Linked DNA regions of Danio rerio. The protein of the gene in region 2 binds, or shares a complex with, the protein of the main gene of each other region. Links are inferred from orthologs where the notes say so. Each region holds a gene or a part of one and is shown on either strand. Other genes may lie near its edges.

Region 1 (4,185 bases), on a different chromosome or scaffold from region 2:
GAGATTATAATGTAAAGAGCTCACATTTCATTTTTTCATCCAGTGTGCCTCTTAGAAAGACAGACAGAGCCTCAACCCACTCTTTAACGCTTAAGTAGCCATCGTTGTCCTTGTCAATGACACGACAAACTGAGTGCACAAGAGATTAAAAGTATAGTGAGTGATATCTTCTTGACTCTGAAACATATATGTATTTACTCATTGGCCACTTTATTAGGTGTGATTTTTTTTAATGTAAATAACTAATAATCAGCAAGATGTATCTTAATGCATTAAAGGCTAATAGTTCACCCAAACTTAATTTACTCACTCTTAAGTATTTCCAGACCTATATGATTTTATTTTTCTGTTGAACCCAAAAGAAAATATTTTGAAAAATGTTGGAAACCAATTGCAATTGACATCATAGTTATAAAAACAACTACAATGGAAATCAGTGCAATGGAAAAACCTGCAAACTCCACACAGAAACAGCAACTGACCCAGTCAAGGCTCGAACCAGCGACCTTGTTGCTGTGAGGCAACAGCACTACCTACCGCGCCACTGCGTCACCCCTTACTAAACTTAGATGTATGTATACAGGTTACAAAACACAAAGTGGTTTCTTGAACATTCATTCATTCGTTTTCTTGTCGGCTTAGTCCCTTTATTAATCCGGGGTCGCCACAGCGGAATGAACCGACAACTTATCCAGCACGTTTTTACACAGCGGATGCCCTTCCAGACGCAACCCATCTCTGGGAAACATCCACACACATAAACACTCATGCACTTAGGACAATTTAGCCTACCCAATTCACCTGTACCGCATGTCTTTGGACTGTGGGGGAAACAGGAGCACCCAGAGGAAAACCACACAAATGCAGGGAGAACATGCAAACTCCACACAGAAACGTCAACTGAGCTGAGGATCGAACCAGTGACCCAGCGACCTTCTTGCTGTGAGGCGACAGCACTGCCTACTTCGCCCGGTTTCTTGAACATGGTCACTTAAATGGCTCCACAGTCACCAGATCTCAGTTCAATACAGCACTGGAATGGGAGATTTGCATCAAGGATATGAAAGCTGCAGGTTCTTTTATTAAAATGGACTAAAACATGGAATATTTTCCGCACCTACTCAAATCTGTGCCATGAAGAATTAAAGCAATTTTGAAGCCAGAGATGGTAAAATAGATACATCACCTTAAAAAAACGTAAGTTCAGCAATCATTTACTCGATTTCCACTTGTTTAAATTTCATTGAAAACAATGGTATATATCAGGGGTGGCCAACCGTGTTCCTGGAGAGCCACCTTCCTGCAGATTTCAGTTGCTACCCATATCAAACATACCTGAACCAATTAATTAGGACCTGAACACCACGTGATAATTACAGGTAGGTGTGTTTGATATGGGTTGCAACTGAAATGTGCAGGATGGTGGCTCTCCAGGAACAGGGTTGGCCACCCCTGGTATATATAGTGGAAAAAAAACGGCCACTGACTCCATAGTACTTTTGTTCCTACTCTGAATGTCAATGGCCATTGTTGGGTTAAGTTACTTTCAAGCAGGGGTGGACTTAACAAATATGCAAGGCAAGTAGCTGCTTAGGGCCTCAGGGAATTAGGGGGTCCGACCAATGCCAAGAACCTTATATTAATCATATAGCTATTTTATCATTTTTTTCTGTGTATAACCATTAAGATTTTAACATTATTGCTTCTTTTCTAATATGGGGGCCCCATCAATAATGGAATGTTCGTTAGCTTGTTAAGAAGTGTCTTCAAACAAAAGAAAATTTCCACTGATTCACAAACAGCTATTATTTAGATAATGGTGAAAAGATTACTACTATAGAGCTTGAAAAATGATAGACAGTGCTGTGTGTTTTTGCTGTTGCATCTTTGGTAACAGGTCCAAGATATATTTATATTTAGATTATATTTAGTTTAAACATGCTGTTTATTTACCAAAATAATAATACTAATAATAAATAAATCTATAGAGGAAAAATATCTATAAAGAAAGAGAATGTTTTGTTTCAATGGGGCCCCATACCTTTGCTTAGAGCCCCCCATATGACTTAAGTTTGCCCCTGTTTTTTAAGTGAAATATATTACAATCTTAAACCACTTATAACCACATTTAGATAGGCTTGAGGTTGTAATTACTTTAACAACTAGGGTAACTTTACCCAAACAGAAAGAAACTCATAAAAGTTTAGAACCACTTGAGTGTGAGCAAACGATGGAGAAGAAGTATTCATTTTGGGTCTGAACTATCCCTTTAAGTTTAAACCCCATTATAATGCTTGCATGGTGAACCTAATAAAGTGGCCGGTGAAAGTATATATGCAATAAATACTGCACTGCAAATTGTGATTGTTTTGTTGGTCGTTGTTCTCATTCAGAAACGCAACGTTACCTCTGTCCGTCATCATGTCGTCGGTCATCCCGAAAGTGTGGTGCAGTATATTTCTGAATTTGGCCCGGTCCACTCCAATAGTCGTCTTTCTCTCTGCCTGCTCTCCCAGCAGACTGTTGAACAGCCTTATCAGACACTCCGTCTCTGTTTTATTAACTACAGTATGACCACAGCTTAGTAACGTTAAATAACCTACCTTGTTTAGTATAGTTATTAGAGTTATAACTTTATAAAGCTGCAGGTTATTAACGAACTAAAAGCTGATATCTCAAACGCAAGTAGATACTCACAATGTTTGACTTGTCTGCATAAAGTCTCGGCGAGGTTTTGAATTAATTTTCTGTTCATCGCCGACATTTTCAGCATGTTTTACTCTCTTTTTAGTCTTTGGTTGAATGTTGCTGTGGAAACGTGTAATGTGGGCGGGGCAATGTTGTGACGAGCAAGCGCTGCATACACAAACCAGGATACATCGATTTAACGCATTTTAACTTGTCGAGCGTTTCCCTTCAGGGACGCATTTTGCAAATTTATGAAGGTAATTCTTCGTTTAAAGTCGTATACCAGCGGATACAGTATGTGGTAAGATATATAAATGATCCTGTCAAACACACATTGATGGTAACTGTTGTTTACACATTGAAACCCACGTGTGTGGAAAAGTGCGAGGAAGTGTTTATTAATGAAAATACTAAGAAATGTAACAACAAACTTATTCTTCGAATTGTCCAACAAAAAAAATCATATTGCTCCAAGAAAGAAATCATATTGGTCAGCTTTAATGAAGATATTGATTGGAAAAGAACATGCTTCTCCCATTCAAATATGTAATCCCAAACAAAGCAAATTAAATCCATTTTAAAACTTTACACAAAATATACCCGGTCAATGCATTTATCTTAGAATTTACTGATATTGCAGATACTTGTTCCTTTTGTCAGGAAAATCAGGAAACTTTGACTCGCATGTATTTTACATGTAAAATCTCACTGTTTTGGTCAGATCTATGTAATTATTTGAAGAAATCCCAATCAACAAAACAAATCTTTAAACTGAAAAATATCATTTGTTGTTATTTAAGCCCCAAGAATAAAAATGAAGAATATTTCTATAACTTTTTTTTAATATTATTTGCTAAATTCTTTATCCACAAACAAAAATTTCTTAAATCCTCTCCCTCATTTGCCCATTATTTAATTGAAATTGATTTCTTGCTTAAAGCTATACGTCTATCTAACAACAACAAAAATCTGCAAGTCAATAGAAACTTATGAAAATATCATGCTTCCAGGATGTTAGTAATTAATGCTTTCTGTATTTCTAATTTCTAATTTCTTAATTTAATTTTGTACTTGCCTTTTCTTCATTTTGTTCTTTCTTTTCTTTTCTTCATATTACTTTTTTCTTTTTTTACTTATTGTTCTTATCACTTTGTAATATCACTTCCTGATTTATATTGTACATTTCTTTCACTCAATTCATTTGATAAAGTGGACTGTTGGGCTTTACAGTGCATTAAATTCATTCACAATCACTGATTACTTCATAAAAATACTATGAATGAATGAATAAGAACACAATTTCTTTTCCCCCAAATTAATAATGTTTATTAAATGACGGTGCATTTTGACAGTAATTCTATTAGTTTTTATTTCACACTAATTCAGCCTGGATGTAAGAATATAGCCTGAAACATGAATGAAGTTTGGAGCCTCTTGCATTTTGACAGTCTTCAGTAAGAGGTGAACCAGTGTAACAGTGGTTGTTTGATTACAACT
Region 2 (3,949 bases):
TATTATACAGTTATTTTTAATATATATTTTGAATTAAATAAATATTGAGAATAACAGACATTTAAAAATGTAAACATTCCAAACCTTTGATTAGTAGTGTATCTACTTTTAACTAAATTAATTGCCTATTTTAACCAACACTGTTGTGTTTTGAGTTTTAATTGCAGCAGGTGTGTTGTGAATGATTCTTACTCTTCTCTTCATTCTCTCTGCCTGATTCATTCTCTCCACCGTCTGCTTTTTGTAGCGGGAGAGGATTTTCTCTCTCTCTTTGCGCTCTCTGTACACCTGCTCCTCCTGAAGCTGCAGCTCAGCCTAGAGACACACAAACATTACTCTAAGCATTTACATTGCCACACTTAAAAATGTGCTTACTTCATTATCTCATTACATTTTTTAATAATTCATTAAACATGTCTTTACCTTGGCAGCATCCTTAGACAGATGAGCGTCACTGTTCATGACCTGCAGGTCTTTAAACACTTGTGTCTGTCTGTGAATCTCTGTCTCCATCCTGTCTAGCTGTGGCTGAAATGTAAGACTCTCTTCCTGAAGAAACAAATCATAAATGATGCTCATTTACAATATCATACACTACCATCCAATCATTCTAATATGCAGATTTGGTATTATTATCAATGATGAAAACTACCTAATAGTTTAACAGGGCTCAACAATAAGGGGCCAGTGTGCAAGACGCTCGGGACAGTATACAGAATGGTTACTGGCCCGATAGGGGCCAGTGCTGCTTTGTCACTAAAGTTTAATTTGGCTGCGATTGTTTGTCAATTGCGAGCTTTCATGCCCAAACGTTTGTTTCAGAACTTGTTTGCCCATTAAGCGCGATTTGTGCGGCTAATATGATTATTATGTTGATGGATCAAGCAAGAACAAGAAGTGAAATGCATTTTAAATTAAGATTGACAAATAAATGAATAATAAAAATACTGACAGTATTATAGACTGATGTAATGAGCCGGCTTATAAAATTAGGAATTTTGGTGGATTTTAAACAAATAAAAAACATAAAATTGTCAACTAAATAGTTAAACTAAACCACACATTAAACAATTCACTTTAATTAATCTAATCAGTATTGTATTTAAATTAAATCATTTTTAAATTGTCAGTTGTATTTAAAGAAAAGTTATGCTGAATAACTAAATGGCTAACTTCTTTTTTTGGAGGGGCCAGAGAAAATGTTGGCAGGGCAAGTAAAAATCTGAACCACTTGCCCGATCGGGCCAGTAGAAAAAAATCCCTAGCGATGAACCCTGTTTAATATACACTGAACCATTGTTTTCAAGATTCTATTATGTGGCAGTCAAAATGTGCAGTTTTATTATACACAGCTCTTTGGATTTACTGTGTGTATGTGAATTTGCTGTGATACCTGCAGATGTTCCTTCAGTTTCAGGTATCCTCGCATTATGTGCTCCGCTTCATGGCATTTCAGCTGCGTTTTCTCCAAACGGTTCTCAAGAATACGCAATTTCTTTACAAAAAAAAAAAAAAAAAACACACAAGTTCATTCTTCTTTATTTTGCTTGCATAGAGTTTAAACAGTCCACGTAGGTCAAATCATGACACAAAAGAGCCAAAGATACATTTAGGAGGATTAAGATGAGAATCTAAAAGGCAGAGACCCACTTCTGATTCACCAGTGTTTATCCGATATGCCCATAAAAAAAAAGTTCTACCTTTTCCTCGTCCTCCTGTTTCTGGGTGTCAGGCAGAGGGCTTTTGTTGTGTGGCTTCATGCTCTGGTACTGCAGCTTCAGGTCCTCTAAACGCTGCCTCTGTTTCTGAGTGGCGTGTTTCATAGCATTCAACTTCTTCATTTTATCACGCACCTGCTTCTCCAGCACTGTCCGAGCTGCCTGCATGACAAAAAATGTCTGTCAACTGCAATTTAAATCCATGTGATTCAGTAATCACAAACAGTTTGCTTAGTTAGAACCAGAAATGACTGAAACAGAAAAAAGTTTAATTTTATAATGAGTAACTGAAATAAAGATACTGTTAAAAAAGCATCCGCAAGTCAATGTTATATATAAATTTGTCATAGTTGTGTATTACATTTACATACTTATTTCATGAAAAATGTTTAACTTCACTTTTAATTCAATTCAAGTTAATACAATATTGACCATTCCAGATTTAAAAGGGGTGTGTTATTAGATTACAATTAAAATTTTTTGAGAGTTTGGCTATCGTGGACTATATTTATACAGAGTTAACCTACAGGTATATAATCTACTTTACAAAAAGATGATGTTCAGGGTCTGACACAATCTGTGAACCTTTTTTGGCAATTTATTTAAAAATCTAAATGATTTTGGGAGTGTCGTAACTGAAAACGACATAAAAAATTATATATTTTTAATTTAAAGAATGTAAATATTTACATTTTTCTTTACATTTAAAGAACATTTTTCTTTAAAATGTAAATCCAGTTAGATCTACTATTTTTTAGTAAACAAAACAAGTTTCTCATAAAATATATCTACCAAAAAACTAAAAATATTACTTTACACCCTGTATTTCAAATAAATCATATAAACATTTGCATATTAGTTTACGATATACCTTAAATTAATATATGTTCATTCATTCATCTATTTTCTTTTCGGCTTAGTGCCTTTATTAATCTTAGGTCGCCACAGCGGAATGAACCGCCAACTTATCCAGCATATGTTTTACACAGCAGATGCACTTCCAGCTGTAACCCATCTCTGGGAAACATCCACACACACTCATTCACACTACGGACAATTTAGCCTACCCAATTCTGCATTTCCTTGGACTGTGGGGGAAACCGGAGCACCCAGAGGACACCCACGCGAATGCAGGGAGAACATGCAAACTCCACACAGAAATGCCAACTGCCCAGCTAAGGCTTGATTAAGCAACCTTCTTGCTGTGAGACGACAGTGCTATTATATATATATATATATATATATATATATATATATATATATATATATATATATATATATATATATGGCTGATTCCAGCGTTATGGACGTGACATTTGCAGTAAAAAAATGAAACGTATATTCTCAGAGAAGGTATATGTTAACAGTATATTGAAATATATGTTTATATTTTTCTTACCCCTTAACCATGGAGTTCAGGCATCAAAAAATATCAGTCTATGCAGGTGTTTTATATTTAAAATGACGGCAAAATGAATGCGTTACGGACGTGACAAAAAAAAGACATGAGTTTTGTGAGTTGACATACTTTGTGAAAATTCTGTGAATGAAAATGCAGAAGCCAAAAAAATATATAACAGTCAAAAGGATAAGGGTTGGCTCTGCATGGGACATATATAATTAATTTTATTTAGTTTTTCATTTTTGCATTAATGAGGAAAAACTATCGTTACGGACGTGACTTGTCTTCGTTACGGACGTGACTGCTCTGAAATTCACAGTTGACACATTATGAAAATCAGATAAATGCTTTCAAAACTTGACCAAAGACCTATTTGTGGATATCTGTTGGGTGTGTAAACCAATAAACTTTAACCTCTGAGACATCTGAATGGTAAGGTTGCACAATTAATCAAACTTAAATAGATATCACCTTGTTATATTTAATTCGTATTATGGCATGTGTGTTGTTAAAGGTTAACGCACGTTCGAATGTTCAAAACTCAATTCGGTAACAATGTTGCATGCTAACATGTTGCTTTTATACTCTGAATAATATAGAATTTATAATAAACATAATCAGCTATAATGGGCCTATGTTTAGCAGGCTCCTAAAGTTAGTGTTTCAGACAAACTTGAATTAAATCATTGCCCGACTGTTGCGCAAGACCTTGTCTACGTGGAGAATATTATATTTGACAAAGTTTATTTTAGTTTATTCTAGTTAACGTGTTAGTTGATGGAATAAATAATTTAATTTCTCCACTCGCGCTTGCTTTCTTTTTCTCGTC

The links.
Region 1: odad3 (region 2) and clxn share a complex: the UniProt entries of both Homo sapiens proteins name them as parts of the outer dynein arm-docking complex. The link is inferred for Danio rerio from reciprocal best matches to the Homo sapiens genes ODAD3 and CLXN.

What each region holds. Positions count from the first base shown.
Region 1 is NC_133194.1:42,812,137-42,816,321, forward strand, and holds the start of clxn (calaxin), read right to left. Parts: upstream 2,809-4,185; 5' UTR 2,774-2,808; coding exon 2,698-2,773; intron 2,564-2,697; coding exon 2,408-2,563; intron 130-2,407; coding exon 25-129; intron 1-24. Other genes in the region: grna.1 (granulin 1 precursor), read right to left, coding at 4,178-4,185. UniProt on the Homo sapiens protein: Component of the outer dynein arm-docking complex (ODA-DC) that mediates outer dynein arms (ODA) binding onto the doublet microtubule. Seems to regulate the assembly of both ODAs and their axonemal docking complex onto ciliary microtubules.
Region 2 is NC_133181.1:9,174,931-9,178,879, forward strand, and holds the start of odad3 (coiled-coil domain-containing protein 151), read right to left. Parts: upstream 2,814-3,949; 5' UTR 2,080-2,813; intron 2,020-2,079; 5' UTR 1,887-2,019; coding exon 1,701-1,886; intron 1,496-1,700; coding exon 1,394-1,495; intron 550-1,393; coding exon 424-549; intron 316-423; coding exon 193-315; intron 1-192. UniProt on the Homo sapiens protein: Component of the outer dynein arm-docking complex (ODA-DC) that mediates outer dynein arms (ODA) binding onto the doublet microtubule. Involved in mediating assembly of both ODAs and their axonemal docking complex onto ciliary microtubules.